Linked DNA regions of Canis lupus familiaris. The protein of the gene in region 3 interacts with the protein of the main gene of each other region in a biochemical or structural test. Links are inferred from orthologs where the notes say so. Each region holds a gene or a part of one and is shown on either strand. Other genes may lie near its edges.

Region 1 (7,404 bases), on a different chromosome or scaffold from region 3:
TCCAAACTCTTCCATCCCCAGCCAGCCTGGGGGGCTCCCCACCTCGGGCCTGGCTGAACCCTTCCTTCCTCTGCCGAGGTTCTGCTCCCCTGCACCCCATCTGCATTTCCTCCTCTGCCTGCCCTCTCCCCAGCGCCTGCCCGGCTCTCTGTAGCCCTCCTGGCCTGCCCCAGCTCTCCCCACACCCCGGCCCCCCATGATTCAGTTCCCAATACTGATTGCCAAACTCCGTGCCTGAACCATGATGGCCGGGGGAGCGAGAGAGTTCGACCCCCACTTTGCACTGAGCTAATGGAGAAGGATTAGGGGGGTGCAAAGGATCCCTGCCCTGCCCCCTCTCACCACGTTCAGGAGAGGTGAGAACAGATTAAGACAGTAGTCAGTCAAGGGCCTTCAAAAAGGCAGCTTTCGAGCTCTAGCCGGTTCTCCTTCTCCTCACCTCCTTGGCTGGAACAGTTCCTCCTGCCAAGAGTGCTCTCCGCTACCCAAGTCCTGCACTTCCTCCTAGACTGAGCTCAAATTCTTCCCCTCCTGCCTTCTCTGAGCCTGTGGTTCTCACCGCTCAGCTGGCCCAAAGCAGTTGGCTTGGAGCATGCTTGTCTTGTTTTATGTGGGTTTGGCTTGTTTCACGGGCTAGCCCAGGGTGGAACTTGTCTCTTGCCTCTTAGAATCCTGGTCTTAGACTCTCAGAGATCATAACAGTCTTCTGGCCTGGGCGGAAACTCCTGCAAACATCCCCTTGTACTCCTGCTTGCACGCCTCTGGTGACAGGAAGATCACCCCCTCCCGATGCTGTTGGCCCTACCTGCAGAAAGGCTTTCTTTCTGCTGAGACAGAATCTGCCCTCCATCTCTCCACTGCTGTCTCCCAGAGCCCCAGAGCCCCAGAGCCCCAGGCTCATCTCTCACCCACAGACAGCCTCTCAAGCATTGCCCGTTCTTTTAGGTCTGACTCAAATGTAACTTCTGCTATGAAGCCTTCCTGGATTTCCTGGGACTCTCCTGGGCCACCCAGTCTCCTGGTCCTATCTGCTTCCTCCATCACTCATGCACACTCCACCCAGTAGACAAAACATGGCGTGAGCAGCAAGAGGGAAAGTTAAACCTTAAAAAATGTGCCCTAATTATAAGAGTCAATCGGTCCAAATAAACAAATTCTGAATAAGAAGATGTATTGTTTTAGAAATTCCCATTCCCACAGTCCCCTCACTTGATGTGATTTTTGCAGATGTTACACGGCTGGAGCCTCCCACTGGCCCAAGGAGATAAGTAGGGCAGGGATGTTTCTCCTCATTTTATGGCCAGGGAAACCAAGAGCCAGTGAGATGAGGCGCCTGGCCTGGGACCCACCGCTGACCCCAGTCACACGCAGGGCTTTCTGCCTGGGCCCCCGGGCTTTAGGTTCAAAGATGTGGAGAAGGCAGTTGGGGAATGAGCATCGGGCCAGCAGGCCTTGGCAAGGGGCTTTGCCAAGCCCAAGTCCAGGGGGCTGGCAAGGGAGCAGATAAGACCTCACGAAGCTGTTTATTGTTTGCCTGGAGAAAGGCTGCCAAGGGCTTTTCAAAAACAATCTGTCCTCTAGTGGGTGACTCTGTCCCCTCCCTCCCCTGGGCACGTCTGCCCTCCCGCCGTGGCTCCAGCAAATGCAGAGAGTGGGATTAACTCCTCACCCACAGACCCTCTGCCCTGGAGGCTCATCAGAGTTACCTGGGCAGCTTTTTATAAAACCTCCTCCACATCCAGTTCCTTCCTCTGGCCAAGTAAAGCAGGAATCCTTGGGTGGGACCCTGGTATCAGAGTTGTTTAAAGTTCTCCAGTTAACTCCAATATGCAGCTAGGGATGTTCCAAATCATCCTTAGTCCCGGAATCAGGAAAAGAAAAGGCTGATACATTTCTGGGGCATGGGGATGGAATTCTACCGAATTTAACTGTTTTCTCTATCTTTAAAAAGATAGATGGCATGGGGGTTTGGAGCGGCTGGTCTTCAGACCCACTTGGAACTTCCTAAAGGGGTCCAGACAACCCTTTCCATTACAGTTTTCCTGGGGGGTTCCCTCCACTTACGATGCAGTTCTTTGGAACTAGGAAGCTCATGGGGGTGATATCCTCTTGTTGAGGGGGGCAAATGCTGGGCTCCCCAGGAAAGCCAGGCGGGTAGCTCTGTGTATGTAGGGGCATGGCTCTCTCACTCCCCCCGACCTCTTTAGTAGGCTCTGGGCAAAAACTGCAATAGATATCATGGATTCACACACCCCTGACTGGGACCCAGTTGCTTTACCACCTGGGTCAGAGCTGAGATTTATATTTGTAAAATAAGATGAAGAGTAGTTGAGCATTGGCAGTGTGACTGGAGCCACAAGGAGAGGGTGTATTCTGCCCTAGGGTGTGCCCACTCAGGAGGCTTCATCTCCTGAAGATGGATGCCCCCCCCCAGATGTAGCCCGATACCCGGCCCCTGCCCCCATCCTTTGGCAGAGAACCTGGCCAGTACTAACCCCCTGGGGCTGCCTTAGCCTGTCTGAGCCTCCATTTACCTATGGGTAAAAGAAGATCATATTCTCAACTCTTCGGGGGTTTTGAGGGGTTAATTGCCACGCTCTATGTGGAAGCACTGTCTGGGGAGGCAGGTGCTCAGGGGCCACACCTGAGGGAGTGGGGAAGAGGTTTGAGAGGGTCCAGAGCCGCTGCTCTTGGGGGTGCTGGGGTGGCCGGTCGTCTGGGGTTTGTCTTGCCCCCCTAGTATGCCCCCCGCCGCACCCCCATCCAGGTCCAGGTCCAGGAGCTGACCTCTGCAAGAAGCCTCTGCTCTCAGCAGTCCTGTTCAGCTAGTCAGTGGCTCGGGGGAGAGGGTTGCTGCTGCCCCGCCCCTCATTCCAGCCCTCCGGCCTGGCCCTGCTCCATCCCGCGCCCCCGACACTGGTCCCCCACTGAAGATCTGGTTCTAATGGCAAAGGGGGACGCCCATGGGAAGTTGACCCCACCCAGGCTACCCCACCAAATGGCTCAAGTCTCTGCACTCCTCTCTTCCCATGGCCAAGAGCACCTTCTGGAGGGCTCCCCAGGGGGCCACTCCTAGGAGCCCTTGAGGTGTGTAGCCTCCCCCGGGGAGGGGGGCATCCTTGTGGCCTATGGCAGAGAGCATGCCAGATGGTCCAGAACTGCCCCGAGGTCCACTTTAGCCTCTGTCACTGGCTGCCCTCCCTCTGCCAGGAGATGAATACCTTCCCCAGCTTCTCTGATCCTTGTTTGTGTCCTATACCACACACACACACACACACACACACACACACTCACAGAGTCACATGCTCGGTGACAGTCCACACCTGGATAGCATATTTCCCCTGTGTCCATTCCTGTCGGGTGGCAGACTTTCGCACACGCTAACAGGCACTTTCACAAACCCTACGCCCTCTCCCATCACACACACCTGCTCAGGGGTGAACCTGTGAACACACATTCCTCCTCTATGGTTTGATGACACATTTGGACATATACACACATGCCCACCTGCGCCGTAGCACACAACACACTTGTTCCTGTGTGCATGCCCTGCACACACATACACACGCTCCGATGGCCCGGCCCCCCTCACCAGGGACAGACCACAGCAGCAGCTTTCCAACCCGCAGCCCGGAATCAACGGAACTCTGACCTTCCTCTGAGGGGGGTCCTGACTTCCCCGGGGTGGGGGGAGGAACAAGGAACCTGTCGAGGTCACACAGCTCACCGTAGTCGCTGAGCTGGCCTCCGGCCCCAGTCCCCTGTCCCTACTGGATCCACACGTGTGCAAACTGCCTGTGCCCTGCCAGGGGACCCCGAGGGCCCTCCCGCAGCATGCTTGCGCGCCCCCCCCTCCGCAGACAGCGCCCGGGACAGAGGTGGGGGGCCTCAGCCGAGCCGAGCCGGGCGGCAGGACCTGGGCCGGTCGGGACCACCCTGCACCTTGGGGTGTCTGGTGACAGGTTCCTCCTCGGCAGGGCTGGCTCCCGGGAGGCGCGGTTGCGGGGATCCAGCGGCCGGGAGGCTCCCGCCCAGGGTCCCCGGACGGCGGGGTGGAGGGCGCCCAGGTCTGTCAGGGGGGGCCGCGGCATCCCGGGGCAGGGAGAGGCCTACCTCCGGGCTGCGAGGGGCGGGCGACGGACAGCAGGAGCAGCAGGACTCCGGGCCGCAGGGCTGCAGCTCTCAGACCCGCCATCTCGGGGAGAAGTGCCCCGGGCCGCTCTCTGCGCCTCGTTTTATCCCCAAAGCGTAATTGCGGCCTCGTCGCTGAGAGGGAAGGAGGGCGGGCGGCGGGCGGCGGGGGAGGGGGGAGCTGGGGGAGGGGGCCGCGGGGAGGGGGCAATTACGAAAGGCCCCGCTCCCAAGCCTCCCAGGCTGAGTCTGACTGGACTGGATGTGGGCTTTTTTCCTTAAAACACACTCACCCGCGCGCACACACACACGCACACGCACAGTTTCCCCATCCCTCTCGGCTTCCCTCTGTAGCTGTTCCCTCCGCGCTGGCCGCGTTCCCGCCAGAAAGTGCGAGGGGGGCCTCTGCCAGGACAGCCCTCGGGAGAGGAAGCGGGGGGAGGGCCCGCAGCCCGGCCAAAACTCCAGCCCCAGCCAAGGCCCGAGTGGCCAGGCCCCCGCCCCTCCGGCTGGGCCCGGGGCCCAGCGTGGGGACGCAGGCCAGCTGTCCTGTGCCTCTGCCCCCACCCCGGCCCTCCAGACTCCCCCGACACCCCCAGGTCTGGCCAGAGACTGTCCCTGCCCGAAGCTGGGGGTGTGGGGTGTTGGGCAGGTCTGGGGTCCAAGGCCTGGGGCCAATGTCTGCAGAGGCTGAGGGGCTGTGAGCAGAACGGCCTGGAAGGTGAGATCATGCTGGCGCTGCCCTGTGGGGCATCAGGGGAAAAGAAGGGGGGGGGGGGGGGGGGACTCTGACACACTATAGGTCCATCCTTTATGGACTAAGGTCACTGTCTCCCGGCTGATGCTGGGGAGGGTTTGGGGGCAGGTCTAGGATCTGCCTCTGCAAAGGCACAGAGGCTGCATTAGAACAGCCTGGGAATTAAGACCACATTGGCATAGTGCCCTGGGGCATCTGGGGGACATGTGGGAGACCCTGACACACCACAGGGATTCCATTCCTCATGGATCAAGGTCACAGTCCCACACACAGGCCTGTGTAGACCACAGTGTCTGGGGATGTTCAGACAGGATCCCCAGGTACTCTTTGGGGGACCGAGGGGTTGGGGACCTCACCCGGATTGAGTGTCCTGGCCCCTCTTTATCACCCAGCCCCCATCTATCTCAATGCTGAGCCTCACTAGCACCCAGACCAGACTCCAGAGTCCCCAGACGGCAAGTTCCCTCCCAGCCACAGGAGGACGCCTGGGGCGCTGACATTCCGCTGGTGGCCAGGAGGGGGCGGCCCTGTGCTGAAACAGCTGAGACCAGCATTTCCAAGACTCCCGAAGTCCCAGCCTGCCTGCACAGGATGAGGACCTTGGGGACTTTCCTGGGGTTGGGTAGAGTAGCGGAGGGTCATGCCTCCCCAGCCCCCCGAAATTGGGGAAGAAATTCAAGAGCCAGAGGATACGGGAGGGGAACAGATACTTGCTATCATCAGAGCCTCTAGGGTGGGGGAGGGGGAAAGTCGAGGTCACAAGTTCTGTGAGCTTTTTCCTGCCCCCAGATGGAGAATGATGGGGGAGACACAACCACAGCTCTGAGCAAGGGAGCTAAAGGACCCCCGCGCCCTCCAGCCTGGAGCTGTGTGGCCTTCTGGAGGACTAACAAGGCCACGTGTTGAACTCAGGTGAACCTAACACTAAATTCTAGCTCTAGGGCTTTCTACTGGGGTAAGCTCTTCACAGAGCTTCGGTTTCATCTCGTGTCAGATGGTGATAAATATCCCTGCCTAGGAGGGTTATTGCAAAGATAAATAAAATGTGATCATACATTTCTGTACCGTGCCTGCCAGATCCAAAATGCTCCAGGCTCATTTGGTGCTAGTACTAGTACTAGGCTACTATTGCTACCCCTCATCCTGCATGGACCACTCCTGTGTTTAGGATTAACTATCAGGTTTGGCTCTCTGTGGGGCCACCTTAGGACCCCAGGCCATTCCATCCTCTCCCCCTGGTCTTAGGCAGCGTCTGCTTCAGGAGTTTGGAAAAGGGTGGACACACAAGGAGAACAAACTTGAAGCTATTTTGCACAGTAAGTGTACAGCTCCTGCTTCCAGTGTGTTCTATTTGGGGTACTGTGGGGTAGCTGATAGAGGTTATGAGCCCGAACTTGTCTTTGTTGCTGGGGGTAGGGGCTGCTTAGGGTTGGGGTCTGGAGGCTCAGTACCTAGGGTGAGCCTACATGTGGAGAGCGAGGCCAGGAGGTGCATCTGTGTGCCTGCCCCCTCCTGGGAAGGGGGAAGGGAGGGGGCGCTGGGGAGGAGCTGGGCCCCACTCCTCTCGGGGCAGTGACGTGGGCAGGAACCGGCTTTCAGACTTGCAAACCGCAGTCTGCTCAGAGTCTTTATTAATTCCAGGACCAGGAGAGAGGCTGGAGCCAGAAGGAGCGTTCTTGCTGCCGGGGGATCCAGGAGAGGTGTGGAGGGGCGCTTGCAGGGAGAGACTCGGGGCTGCTGGGCCAGACCTCTCCCCACAGAATCAGGGCCCTGTGTTCCACCCTGATCTGGGACCCCCTTTTTCTTAGCACCCTGTGCTCGTTGGAACAGCTCCAATAACTTGCATCTGAGGCTTCACACACCAGAAAGGGCTTCAATTCAGAACCCATCAATTGAAGTGATTCTTCAGTACAATTTAGCCCAGGGTATTCAATACATACTGTAAGGACTGGAGGTCACAGTTATTAGCTGACATGCATTCATTCATTTGCTCATACATCCTAGAAACCCAACAGTCCTCAACTACTCTGTGTTCACCTCCCTGCATAGCTGCGTGGGTTAAATCAGGTCATTCAGGTAGAACCGCCCATGGAGGGCTGCATGGTGCATCACGGGGCTGGGTGAGCCTGGCTTCCCAGTTATCACTGACAAGCCTCACCTGCCCACTCACTGCTAGACATCCAGGTTTGTTACTGACAGGACATCTCTGTCTTCCAAATCCTCCAGGTGCACCTGTTTAGAAAGGGGTGTGCCACACCTGCCCTGAGCATCTTATTGCTTGACCCGGAAGCCTTCAATTGCCTTCCAGATAAAGTCCAGACTTCTGAGTACAACCTTCAAGGCTCTGTATGACCTGGTGCAACTGCTCTGATGCTCTCCTTCCTCTAGGCCGGCCTCCCTTCCGGCTGGTGGAGCTGCTCTCTAGCTCCCAGGCTTGTCCGGATGTTGTCCGAAGGGCCGGATGTTGGCAAGGCTCCCTAGTCTCAGCTTCTGTCCCTGCAGGTCAGTGCCCTCGG
Region 2 (5,425 bases), on a different chromosome or scaffold from region 3:
TTTCCAGGCAATGGTAACAGTGTGAGCAAAGGTGGGGGCCCTTTGAGACAGGCAGAGAAGCTAGGGAGGATGAGGAGGTGGATTGGTGAGACCAGGGTCCCGTGATGATTTTGAGTGACATGCTGGACAGCCAGCATACGGGCATCCAGGCCTGACCCTCCCTGCCTCTCTACCTCCCCAGTTCCGGCTGAAGCGCTGTGGTCTGGGGCACAGAATATACCTGGTGGAGGAGCATGGCTCTGCACACCACCTTAGCCTTCCTGAGAGCACGCTGCTGCAGGCTGTCACCAACACTCAGGTGAGCCAAGAGGACAAGGCAAGGCTTGCAGGAACCCCATGGTCCACAGCTCTGGCCAAGAATTCCCATCATCTCTTGGGTGGGTTCCTCTTCCCCAGGTCATCGATGGCTTCTTTGTGAAGCGCACAGCAGACATCAAGGAGTCAGCTGCCTACCTGGCCCTCTTGACACTGGGCTTGCAGAGGCTCTACCAGGTGAGGAAGTGATTTGTCCTTGGGTCCTATGCTCCCCCAAGGAAGTGAAGTGAGCAAGATCCAAATTTTTCATACTGGCCTCCTGAGGCCGAGGATTAGGCAAGGAATGGCAGGGAGTTGTCCCCTAGAGCTCTGTCCTGGCCTCAGTTCCCTCTTCCTTCAGGGCCATACCCTACGCAGTCGCCCCTGGGGAACCTCAGGGGATCCTGAATCAAGGCCTGGGCCCTCCCCACATCCTCTCTGCTCACTCCTCACCTTCAGTGACTTCAACGCAGGAGCCATGAAGAACAAGGTACAGCCTGTACCCCATGCCTCCTTACTCGGGCCAGCCCCAGGCCACGCCTGACACCATTCCCCTCGCCCAATCCCAGGCCCAGTGTGTGCAGGAGGTGTTCGCCAGGCAGCTGATGCAGGTGCGGGGAGTGAGTGGGGAGAAGGCAGCAGCCATAGTGGGCCAGTACAGCACCCCTGCCAGGTGAGTGCTTTGCGGAGGGGTCTGGCTCTGCCAGGGTGCATGGACCTGACTGAGTGGACAGAGGGGAGTTGGTGGAGGTCAGGTGGTAAGGAAGACGGGGTCAGCTAGGAGTAGACAGTATCTCAGGGTCAGCTAGAAATAGACAGTATCTCAGCGGCCAGGGGAGCCAACAGGAGTGAGCGAGCGCTTCTGCCTGGTGCAGCGGAGAAGGCTCCTGGATGAGGGGGTTGGGCCATGAAGACTAGGCCAAGAATAGTCACACTTGGAGAACATTTGCAGCTGCATGAAGGGAGGCTGAGCTGGATGGAAGGCTCAGGAAGTACAGCAGCAGTGCTGACTCCTCTCCTCCACGCTGACCCCTTCTGCTTGTCTCCCGTAATGGTGGCCTAGCCACTCAAGAGTGGGCCAGCTGTCCGCTGTTGCCAAGCTTTAGAAATTCAAACACCCTACCCCACCCCCAGCCTCCTGGCCGCCTATGACGCCTGTGTCACCCCCAAGGAACAGGAGATGCTGCTGAGCACCATCAAGTGTGGTCGACTGCAAAGGTGATGATGGCAAGGAAAAAGGACCTACAGGGAGTGGCTGGGGCAGGGTTGCTCTGGCTCATGGTCTGACCCTCACCTGCATTTCTCTTTGTGCAGGAATCTGGGGCCTGCTCTGAGCAGAATCTTTTCCCAGCTCTACTGCTGCTACAGCCCTCTGACCTGAGGCATCCCGTGAGGCCGACTACACCACCACCCCCCACCTTCATGGGCTAGCCAGCCTTTTAAGCCACTGGGCTACAATAAAAATATAAGTATTTGCAGCTTGATGTATTATGGAGGTGATGCCAGGGACTTTGTGAAGTATCCAGGCAGAAATTGGGGAGACCAACAGATCCAGTGGTTTTTAAACTGAGCTCTAAGGACCCTGGGGTTCCCTGGGAGAGCACTGAGACCACCAAGGAGATGGAGTCAGTGAGGCGTTACAACTTTGAATCTAGTTTATATCATCAGAGTTCCCTGATAGGATCAAATATCCTTCCATAATAAGTTCTGTGTTTTGGAAAAGAAATATGTGGAAAGCACTAATCTTAATTGCCTCATTTTATAGATTGGAAAACTGATGCCCAGAAAGAATCTACTAGGGTTTAGTCAAATTGATAGTTTGAGGCCAAACTGGGATTAGAACCCAAGGCCTCCAATGTCTACAGTAGAGTTATAAACCAAACTCCAGTTCCTGGGCTGGGTCCCTGGAGTCTGTAGCCTTATCATCTCCTCCATTCTCAGACCGATTCTGATGTGCATGGTACATGGATCAATCCTGGTCTTGGGGACACAGTTCCCAACTTCTATCTATGGGGCACCCTGAGCCCGAATGGAGATACCCCCCTTTAGGTGATTGGCCTGCCTCCCACAGCCTGGCCACTTCCCCAGTCCAGGGGTTCACTACAGTGTTACCCACCCACCTCAGCCACCAGGACTCCTTCTTTCTCCCTTTATTGCCTTTCTCTTTCTACTCTTCACAACAGCATCTGCCCTTGCAGCCGAGCACAGTCATCCCTGAGCCCCAGGCTCTTGGGCCACAGGAAGCCTCTCCCTCCCTGAGGGCTCCCCACCCCCACCTCAGAAAGTATAGGCCCCCACGAAGACGGTGAGTCTCAGTACAGAACTGGCCCGGTAGCTCATGAGGGAATTCATGGTGACCATCTCCAGATCCAGCACGTACTCCCGGGGGCCCGTCACAGGCCGGGCGAGGACCAGCATGGCGCTGACATTGTTGATTTGCTGCAGGGCATAGTGGGTGGGGGACATGTAGATTGTGTCAACCTACATGCCAAGACCCCTGCCCCAGCCTCACCTCCCCATCCCATATCTTGAGCCCACAATCAGTTGGCTGTGAAATGGAGAGTCCTAGCAGGCTGTGACCCCAGGCTCTCATCCAGCTCTGATACCCTTGACATCTTGTCACTGATGCACCCAGGCTCCTGCCCTCAGAAATTTCCCACTGGTGCTCTTCCCACACTTTCCATCTAGTTCTTTTGTCTAATCAGGGTCAACTGATGATGCAAGGCCAGGTGGGAAACTTTTGGGAGTGGTGGGGTCTTTGGTGACCTGGAGCTGGCTGACTTCCCTTCAGAGCATCCAATTGCAGAAAGAGAAAACAAGGACTAATATCAGATAAACCCTTGGCCCCCTCTCCTCGTGAGTCATGCCTGGATCTCTCCCTAATAGCTCCACCAGCAGCGAGCTGGATTCTTGGATGCCAGACCCCTGCACCAACCCCTGCTGCCTCTCTCTCCAAGGCCCAGCTCCATCTGCTTGTGTTCCCCAGACCCTGTTGTGTCCTGTTACCTGGGCAGGCTTCTCATGCCAGTGCCTTGTTCTAAGAGTGAACAAATCAGAGGCCAGATATGGAAACCAGTGCCAGGACTCAAACCCCAGTGTCCAAGTGCCTCATTGGAACTGCATTTAACAACCTGTAGTTTGTTAGTTTGTAGCAAGGGAATTTAGAATACCCCTACCTTTCTGCAGAAATTCCACCTCCTGGGGGGACAGGGCTTTGAGAAAAGGGGTAGAGCCAAATCTCCCACTTAAGGTTTTCTGGAATTCAGTTTTGGATTATGCATGTCACTTGAGGGGTGCAATTAGGGGAAAGCCTTACCCTAATGTAGAAATCCCCTTGCGAGTTTCCTGCACGGATCTGAAAGGCATTGTAGGCGCCAGGGTAGACAGAGGTTGCTTGGATCTGGAACACATCGGCGGGCACACTCCGCTCTGAGGTGATGCTCATGTAGCGGTGCACAATAGACGAGGGCTGCTCCCGGCACAGGGGGTTGGAGGCCGGACAGAGGCAGCGACTAGAAACCCCAAAATGGGGACACAAATGAGGTCCTGGCCTATACCCCAAGTTTGGTCCCATTCCTAAAACTAGGTATCCCCAAAGGATTCTCCCACTCCTTCTAGAACTGTTTGCATGGTTTAGTCATGAAAGACTACAATTCCCATAGGCCCTGGAGCACTAGACAGCCTGCACAGCAGCCAGTCAGCCACAGAGCCCTCTGAGAGTTGTAGTTTCTGCGGGCGGGGGGTGTGGGGGCGGGTGTCTGGTGTCCCATGGACTCACTTGTCAGACACCTGGACGTAGGGTTCCACGCAACGGTTGGTATCCACACAGCGGTAGCCTCCATGGAAGTTGACACAAGTTTGGGCCTCAGAGCACTGGTGCGCGCCTGACTCACACTCATCAATGTCTGCATCAGGGGAAAGGGGCTGGAACCCAGATGTCAGGCCACCAGCCCCCGATACCACCCTACCTGCTCCACTGGGGCAACCTGTACCTTGGCAGAGGCGTGTGGCCAGCAGCTGGTAGCCCTGCGGGCAATGGCAGGAGAAGCGGCCAGGTTCGTTGACACAGCGGTACTGGCAGAGGTAACTGGAGTAGCTGCACTCATCAATATCTGAGGAAGAGTGGGGATGAGGGCTCTGGGCCAAGGGCAAGCCTCTCAATTCATTCCCACGAATGAATTGAATTTACAGAGAGAGCCTGGCCATATGTTAGGCTCAGTATGGAAAGACAGGGGGATGCAAAGCTCAGTAAGGAGACAGGATTCAAATAAAGGTCTGCCCAGACTGCCCAGCTCCCGGACCTCTGCCCCAGCTCTGCAATACAAGACCTCATGGAAGCACTGTGAATCTAGAGGCTTGGGTGTAAGTCCTGATTGAATTTGGGGAACCTTGATTTCCCTGTCAATAAAATGAGCAGGTTGGACTAGATGAGACTTGAAGGCCCAGCCTGTTCAAGCTTTTGGTAACTTGCCCAATTCCTGCAACCCACAACCAGCCTCAGTGTACAGTCCCCTCCTGCCAACAGGTAGTTTATAGGCAAGAGCCAGGGTTTCTTTTTTTTTTTTTTTTTTAAGAGCCAGGGTTTCTGCTCTGGTTAGCCTCATGCTGTCTAGCACTGAGCCAGGTACCAATGGGGCCATACAACCCCAAAGCACAACATAAACAAGGTACCTGGCCAGCTGACAAGGAATGAGTGATCCAGAGTGGAACCCTGGTGCGACCTCACCCTAGCTGTATGACCTTGGGCAAGTCACTTAACCTCTTTGCTGAAGGACTTTGTGCTTATTATTTTCTTTAACAATAGTTGCCAAAAACCTCAAGGGAGAGACTACCATCCTCGTTTTGCAGAGGAAGGAAAAATTCATACTTACAGCCTAGGATTGTTGGCAGGATTAAATGAAGCCAAGTATGTAGGGGAAATTAATGCCCTGCACAGGGAAGGCTCTCAATAAATGATAGTTCACTTTAAAACGTCGTGGCTTGGGACTTGACGAAGCCTGTCTTGTCATTTTCCCACTTCATCCTCAAGACGATCCATTTTACAGAAGAAATGGGCTCAAAAGAGTGGCTGGCCCTAGTCCAGGATGCAGGTCCATCTAACTCCCAAGAGGGGAGCAGCTGCATCCTTTGT
Region 3 (7,062 bases):
TTTGAATCTGGGGCACCTGAGTGGCTCAGTCACTTAATTGTCTGACTCTTGATTTCAGCTCAGGTCATGATCTCAGGGTCATGAGTTTGGCCGCACGTCAGGCTTCATTCTGTGCTTGGAGTCTGCTTGGAATTCCCTATCGCTCTCTCTCCCTCTGCCCATCCCCAACTTTTCTCTCCCTCTAAATCAATCAATCAATCAATCAATCAATCAATAAATAAATAAAATCCTCAAGAGACCAGTTTCCTTTTCCCAGTTATTCTCCATCTTGATCAGATGAACCCCTAAATGAAATAGTTTATAAAAGAGTGGCAGGAGGAAAGAAAAGAGAAGACCACAGTTTTCTCTCTGAAGCTTTTAGGTTTCTGATGTCAGAGGGCCAACCTACCTGTGTATGTGCTGTACATGCAAATCGCCTGTGGTAGCCATAGTCACAGGATGTGTCCTCAAGACAGAAACTGGCTTTGTGGCCTTCAGCCACTCTCCTCTGGGTACTGGCATCAAGTAGGTCATAGTGGCTGAATTCATCCATGCTGTGGTAATGTCTGATGTCCCACACAACACAGAGACAGAGGTCAGTAACATACAGAGAAACAAAGCCATGAGGACTTTAGATGACTCCCCCACTGCCTCCCACACGTGTTTTCACACTAAAATTGAGATCAAGTTTATCTTCTTAAAGCCAGATTCATGCTAGCCCTTTTTCCTAGGAATAGAGATCTATCAGAATTGTAAGCTTTTAGCTTTGCTTCTAGGAATAAAAAATGACTTAGTTTGAATATCTTGTTTTCCTATTACACCCTGTTTTATCTTTGAATATTAAATAGAAAAAGATACTAAATTATCTGCATTTAAGTAAAACCTGCCATATGCTCTCTAATCTGTTTCCTTTGGCTGCCAGGATTGATGTTTCGTTCCAAATAAAAGAAGAGCACATGACTCATGGGAGGTTTCTGTGAGATTTTTAAAAATGCAAAACCATTACTAAAATGCAAAGGAGAAATAATGGTATGTTTTTCCCACAATTATTATTTAATAAGTATAAACTTTTATTGAGAAATGAAATAATTTTATTTTATCAGAAAATTCAGTGTTTATATCTGTTTTCTCTCATTTCATTTCAGGGAAGGTACTGAGATGTTTATCTTCTCATGTAAGGAAAGAACAAGAAAAAATTGCTCAAATTGCAGAAGGTTTCAGGGCACCCATCAGGATTTCCTGGCATTAAGTACCTGGACAAGTTACCAAGGCAAATCATAGAACCACCTTCTATAAAGATCTTTAAATTTAGGACAAAGCAGGCTATTACCCTGGCTTTGATACAGGCCTTTTAAAAGACAGAGGTAGGTCCTTCTCAGCTCATGGAGTATATCATCTCTATTTTTCTCTGAGATTGGTATATGAATCCTTCTGATCACCTGTGGACTTTATGAAATGCTGACTAACTGTAGGTGATCTTGGCTAGAACAAGCTTTTTTTTTGGAAATCTTACCTATAATTCATTGGAATAAAATATTAGGGAAGCCAATGCTGTATCCCTATCAGCAGTTTTAATGAGCTGAACTTAGAATTTTAACGAGCTGGATTTGAATTTCCATTTTAAAAGATAACAGGATCCTGTAGCTGATATGTTTCCTTGATGATGTCACATTACACAGAGAAAATTCTGAATGTAATCATAACAGTAATTTTCTCCCTTTTCTGTAAGAAATAAGACTTTGCACTTGTCACATCAAGAACTCTGTGAAAAAAAGGAAAACACAACTCAGAAGGACCTAGGAGGCCCATCCACTTACTGGTGACAACTGTGCCATTCCCAGGAATATCTTGGTCGGCTGGGTAAGAAATCTGATGTCCCTTGGTTTTTCACTCTTTGAGGGAATCTTAGCAGCACCCTGTGATCATAATCTCTGACATCTGCCCTGTATGCTGAGCTGTGGTTTTGAAGAAGGAAACATTAGTACTTTCACAGGATACTATCTAAAGATGAATTACAAGCAAAACCCTTTCCATTTTATAATGGCAACTACCTCCCACCTCCAACTAGACTATCAGTTGCAAGAGACCTGGGGCATTTTGCTTATTTTGTTTATTGCTGAATCTCCAGATCCTAGAACGATGCCTGGCAAGTGGTCAGAGTTCAGTGAATATTTGTTGAATCAGTGAATGAATGACCACTATAGAAACCTGCAGTTAGGATCCCTGGGTGGCTCAGCGGTTTGGCGCCTGCCTTTGGCCCAGGGCGAGATCCTGAAGACCCGGGATCGAATCCCACATCAGGCTCCCGGTGCATGGAACCTGCTTCTCCCTCTGCCTGTGTCTCTGCCTCTCTCTCTCTCTCTGTGACTATCATAAATAAATAAAAAATTAAAAAAAAAAAAAGAAACCTGCAGTTAAAAAGTATAATAAAATTAGGATTAAGAGTGTACGTGTGATAAGTAAATTTTGTACTTATAATCAGTTCTTGTTTAGCCACATGAATGAGTAGCAGTTATCTCAAATTTTTTAAAAAAATCTTATGTACTTATTAAGAACTTTGAATTTAACAATACGTTTCTTCTTAAATAGTTTCCTAAGATGTAAAGTGGGGAAATAATTCTAGAAGCATACACCCAGATTAGAGAAATAATTTTGCAATTTCGCTATCTTGAAAACAATGGCATGACTGTAATAACATCCTAGGGAGTGCAAGACTCAAAATGGATGAGTTCAGCTTTCTTCTCTTCCTTTAGCCTGACAGTTACAAAGGGTCAAAGTGGAAGAAGAACTGAACAGATAAACACTACTCTCTTCCTTCTAACATATTTTGTGGGAATATATATTCACATACTGTTGAGTATTTTCACTTTCCACTTGAAAAAAATTTTATGAGACCTATCAAAACATCTTTTGCTCCCTCTGCTGGTTTCCCAGCGGCAAAGTCAGAGAATTCCATTCCCCAAATTGCTATGACTTTATTTTAGGACTGATTCAAAAACAAAGCTCTTGATCATGCTCTTATTCTGGCTGAAGTAATACCAAAACAACGAAATTAAATTGTGGCCTCAAACAAAAGAAGAAAACCTAACCTTTGCTGATGAGGGGTGCCACACTGGCAAATTAGCCCTCTGTGTTTTAAGGGGTTATTAACAAGCTCTTCCATTACAAAATTTTTTCCATGGTATTGTACAGTTCTTTGATAGAAAGTTATGGGAAACCACTAGCTCCAAAGTCTGAGGGTCTTGGAAAAAGAACGCGAGATCTCAACTCTCCAGGATTAGGGTTTACCCCATCTCCCTGATGTGTGTCACAGTTTGAAAGTCGGAACCCACAGAAATCTTGAAAATGTTAAACTCTCCATCCAGTTCAGCATGCCCAGGAGACCACATTCCACTTCCCAGCTCTTGCCGCATTTCCCAATTCTTGTGTGCATGGAACAAGAGCAGCAGTCAGGAGGACCAGGCGCTGGAGCAGCGCCTGACCCACAGATGGGGCAGCCCGGCCGCGGAGAGCCCGACCAGTACCTGGCCAAGCAGTTCTCCTCTGCAGCGCATCTCAGGTTGTACATGGACATCTTTTGCACGTACGTGGACGCCTGGATGTAGTACGGATCTGGCACCAGGTCCGGGAGACCTAAACGTCAGGAGGCGATGGGGATAGGTAGCTGTGAGCCAGCCCAGCACCCCCTACCCCGGCCCTGGGTACCCTCCGTGTCCCTGACTCCTCACCCTTCACCCAAGCGGGCTGCGGGTAGCAGGAGGACGGGGGACGCCAAGGGCTGCAAAGCAAAGTGGAAAGAAAGCAGGAGGGGCCAGGCGCGCGCGGTTTGCACCGGATTCCAGGGCTGCCTCTGCAGGCGCAGGGGGAGGGATCGGAGCCGCGGGGACTAAGGCCTGCCGCGCCCAGGCAGCCACGTTGGGGAGCCACGGAGTGGCGGAAGGGGTGCGCGGCTGCTTCCTGCGACTTGGGGTGCTTACCGTACTGGAAATAGCCGGTGCCGTATCCGGGCCGATACCTGCTCCCAGGCCGAGGCCTTTCGTACGTGTCGTAGTAGTTGTAATAGGGGTTGTCGTCGGAGTACTTGTAGGGGTTGTAGGGGTCGTCGCCCACCATGCCATCCACGCGGCTGGGCGGCCGCAGGTTACTGAGCGCCGGGCGCTCTCCCGGCGCGGTCTGGTTGGCGTCGCGGGCCCCGGACGCCGAGTAGCCAGCCTGGAACCAGTGGCGGGCGGCGGGTCTGGGTCGGCCGGCGCCCCCCGCCGTGCCTGCGGCCCGCTCCCGCGCTGCCGCCGTGCGGTTGCGGAGCAGCAGGATCGGCGTGCGCGGCTGCGGGGCTGCGGCGTTGGCAGCGCCCGGGGCGGTGGTGCCCGGGTCCCGTCGGCGCTGCGGCTGGTACTGCGAGCCCAGGCTCAGCAGGCTGAACACCTGCCCGTTGTTCTCCCATTGGATCCTCTGGCGCCAGGCGGCCGGAGCCGCGGGCGGCTGGCGAGGGGGCTGCTGTTGGCCGGCTGCCGGCGGGGCGCAGCGCAGGAGCGCGCAGAGCTGCAGCGGCCCGAGCAGAAGCGCGGTCCAGGCGAAGCGCATCGCTCCCGTCGCCTGACTGCTCCCACTCCGGGAGGACGCAGATCGGAGAAGAGAGAAACGGGGCCCGAATCACGTGAGGGAGGGGAGAAATCTTCAACCAGGGAGGCCGGTAACTCAGTCCCTACAAGCAATGCCAAGGGTGGGCTGCGGACCCTTGCCCAGCAAAGGCGGCTGCTGGGACGTGGCACCCGCCTGTCTCCTCTTTCCCAGTCCTCCTGGAAGGCGGCGGGGAGCGGCGCGGCGGCCCCGGCGAGCGGGCAGCGTCTGGAGTGAAGGAAGGAGGAGAGATTTTAAACTTTCTGGCACGTTTGCAAAGTTACACAAGCAGTTCTGGCCCGGCAGCCCCTCCGCTATTTGTTCACGTAATGCGATTGGAAACGTGCAAGGCGGACAGCTCCTCGCCTCTGCCCCTCCCTCCCGTCCTGTCCTCCTCCCCCCAGACACGTTGCACAGGGAGCGTTAAGGGGAAAGAACAAAACGGAGCACACATCCTGAGACACACTCGGCTTAATCTGGGGCGAACATGCAGGAATTTCAAAAGACTCAGACAGGCGAAGGCAGCCAGGCCATGGGGCGACGCCAAAATATGCATGAAGAAAAATGCTATTAGGTCACCAGCCCTGGAGAGGCGGGAAGTCGGGAGGTGGGGAGGGTGCTGGGGGCGAGAGTCGGGGAGGAACGGGGGCGGGGGTGGGGTGGGGAGGGATGCTGGTGACTAACGTTTATCCATAAGGAGTTAACCAGACGAATTTCCCAATGCATACTCACTCGCTTTTATGGTAAGCGCCCTCAGCAAATAAACCCCAGGATATCAAATTTTGTTTTTCTGTGTGTAGGTAATATGAGAAATGGGTTACAAATTTGTTTCCTACAGTGAATATTTTAATAACCAAAAGTGAAATTTTACAGGGAACAAAGCCACGTCTAACCCTGAAGAGATGGATAAACCTGTCTCTTTTTCAAAACGCCGGCCTGATTTGTACTTCCAGCAAAAGTGGAGAACCATCTTTCATCTGGACAGCATCTACCAGGACATTTCAGTAAAGGGGGGCTACACCAAGTGTGCCCAAGATAGCACTTGGAAGGCAGCTTCAAGGAAGCGTTTTACATGACTTTTCTCATTCTACATCCGATTTGGAGGTTTGGCTTTGGATTCTTTAAAAAAGTTAAATCATCATTTGCTAAACTGTGAAAATTCAGTAAAACATCCTATGGTGTTTGGTTGATCTTCCAGTGTAAGCAAAGGGGTTTCTGAAGAAATAGCCTCGGAGTTCAGATTCTGGTAAGGACAAAGGAGTAGGAGTAGCCAGACAAGAATGGGTGGCAGATGGGTAGGAGGCAGGTAATGCTGCCTGGAAAGAGATACTTAATGGACCAGTTACCCAAACATACCATGCAGGGTTTGGGTAGTGTTGGAAGCATCTCAAAGAAAAAAAATCTTTAGGCTGATTTAAAACTGTGACTCAGAACCAGATTTTAATAACTTTTTTTTATCAGTCTCATTACTAGGCTGTTGTCTAGATATACTTCATTATTCACCTCTCACTGTCGATCTCTTTCTCTGCAATTTAACCACCGCATTTTGATGATGTGGTGGACAGCTGCTGATTTGAATGCCTAGCATCCATGTTCCTTTCTTTGTTCTTTTTTTTGTGTTTTTTTGTTTTTTGTTTTTCCTAGCGAGAACCACTGTATTTTCCTTTGGGAAAACTCCCCTACACTGTTGCATGGTGGGATTGACTGAGCATTCATAAGAGTTTTGCCACTGCAAGCAGTGGCAACAAGATCCCAGCTTGGCTCATCAAACCATCTCCCTACAATTGGAATCATGAGCAGATGGACACAAGGCTCAAAAATGTTGGAGCTCACTCTTGCCGCTACTCAAGAAAGTTTCTACGAGTTCTTGCTACACGGATTCCCCTTGAGCTGTTTCAGACCAGTACCTTCCAAGACCTGATCCTTCAGCTTTTCCTTACTTTTCTCCATTGCCTTCCTTTGTGGCTTGACATGGTCAGAGTCAGTTGCTGTTGTCTGCCACTTAAGAACCCTGACTGATACTGAGGGGGATTGTGACTGGTTCTCTCAGCTAATCAGATCTCATGATTCTACATCAAACTTGATGGGTTTCGGGTCTTTATTTTATTTTATTTTTTATTCATAAGCGACACACAAAGAGAGGAAGAGACATAAGCAGAGGGAGAATAAGGCTCACTGCAGGGAGCCTGATGTGGAACTCCATCCCAGGACCCTGGGATCATTACCTGAGCCAAAGGCAGACGCTCAACCGCTGAGCTGCCTAGGTACCCTGGGGTTGGCTCTTTTTGAGTCAAATTAGATTTGCTCTTCCTGTGACCACACAGCATCCTTGGTTACAAAGGCTTCAGGTGGAAGCTTGCCAGTGGATTGGCAAGTCCACCATTATATGATGAAGGTGAAAATGCAAGTGCAAATCCCACTGAGAGCAAGTGAACAGTGCCACATCTCTGTCTGAAAGTCAGA

What was found.
Region 1: the proteins of LOX (region 3) and ELN form a complex in vitro, tested with the Homo sapiens proteins (2 studies listed by BioGRID and IntAct). The link is inferred for Canis lupus familiaris from reciprocal best matches to the Homo sapiens genes LOX and ELN.
Region 2: the proteins of LOX (region 3) and EFEMP2 form a complex in vitro, tested with the Homo sapiens proteins (2 studies listed by IntAct, with this or other methods). The link is inferred for Canis lupus familiaris from reciprocal best matches to the Homo sapiens genes LOX and EFEMP2.

What each region holds. Positions count from the first base shown.
Region 1 is NC_049227.1:6,243,844-6,251,247, forward strand, and holds the start of ELN (elastin), read right to left. Parts: upstream 4,283-7,404; 5' UTR 4,196-4,282; coding exon 4,114-4,195; intron 1-4,113. UniProt on the Homo sapiens protein: Major structural protein of tissues such as aorta and nuchal ligament, which must expand rapidly and recover completely.
Region 2 is NC_049239.1:51,894,930-51,900,354, reverse strand, and holds the end of EFEMP2 (EGF-containing fibulin-like extracellular matrix protein 2), read right to left. Parts: intron 4,407-5,425; coding exon 4,287-4,406; intron 4,200-4,286; coding exon 4,073-4,199; intron 3,807-4,072; coding exon 3,611-3,806; intron 2,734-3,610; coding exon 2,572-2,733; 3' UTR 2,430-2,571; downstream 1-2,429. Other genes in the region: crossover junction endonuclease MUS81, read left to right, coding at 182-298, 397-492, 656-784, 864-967, 1,429-1,512, 1,609-1,675. UniProt on the Homo sapiens protein: Plays a crucial role in elastic fiber formation in tissue, and in the formation of ultrastructural connections between elastic laminae and smooth muscle cells in the aorta, therefore participates in terminal differentiation and maturation of smooth muscle cell (SMC) and in the mechanical properties and wall integrity maintenance of the aorta.
Region 3 is NC_049232.1:11,929,957-11,937,018, forward strand, and holds the start of LOX (protein-lysine 6-oxidase), read right to left. Parts: upstream 4,946-7,062; 5' UTR 4,564-4,945; coding exon 3,957-4,563; intron 3,613-3,956; coding exon 3,504-3,612; intron 2,314-3,503; exon of another isoform or gene 1,935-2,313; coding exon 1,797-1,934; exon of another isoform or gene 1,709-1,796; intron 1,344-1,708; exon of another isoform or gene 1,125-1,343; intron 1,009-1,124; exon of another isoform or gene 902-1,008; intron 546-901; coding exon 389-545; intron 1-388. UniProt on the Homo sapiens protein: Responsible for the post-translational oxidative deamination of peptidyl lysine residues in precursors to fibrous collagen and elastin. Regulator of Ras expression. May play a role in tumor suppression. Plays a role in the aortic wall architecture.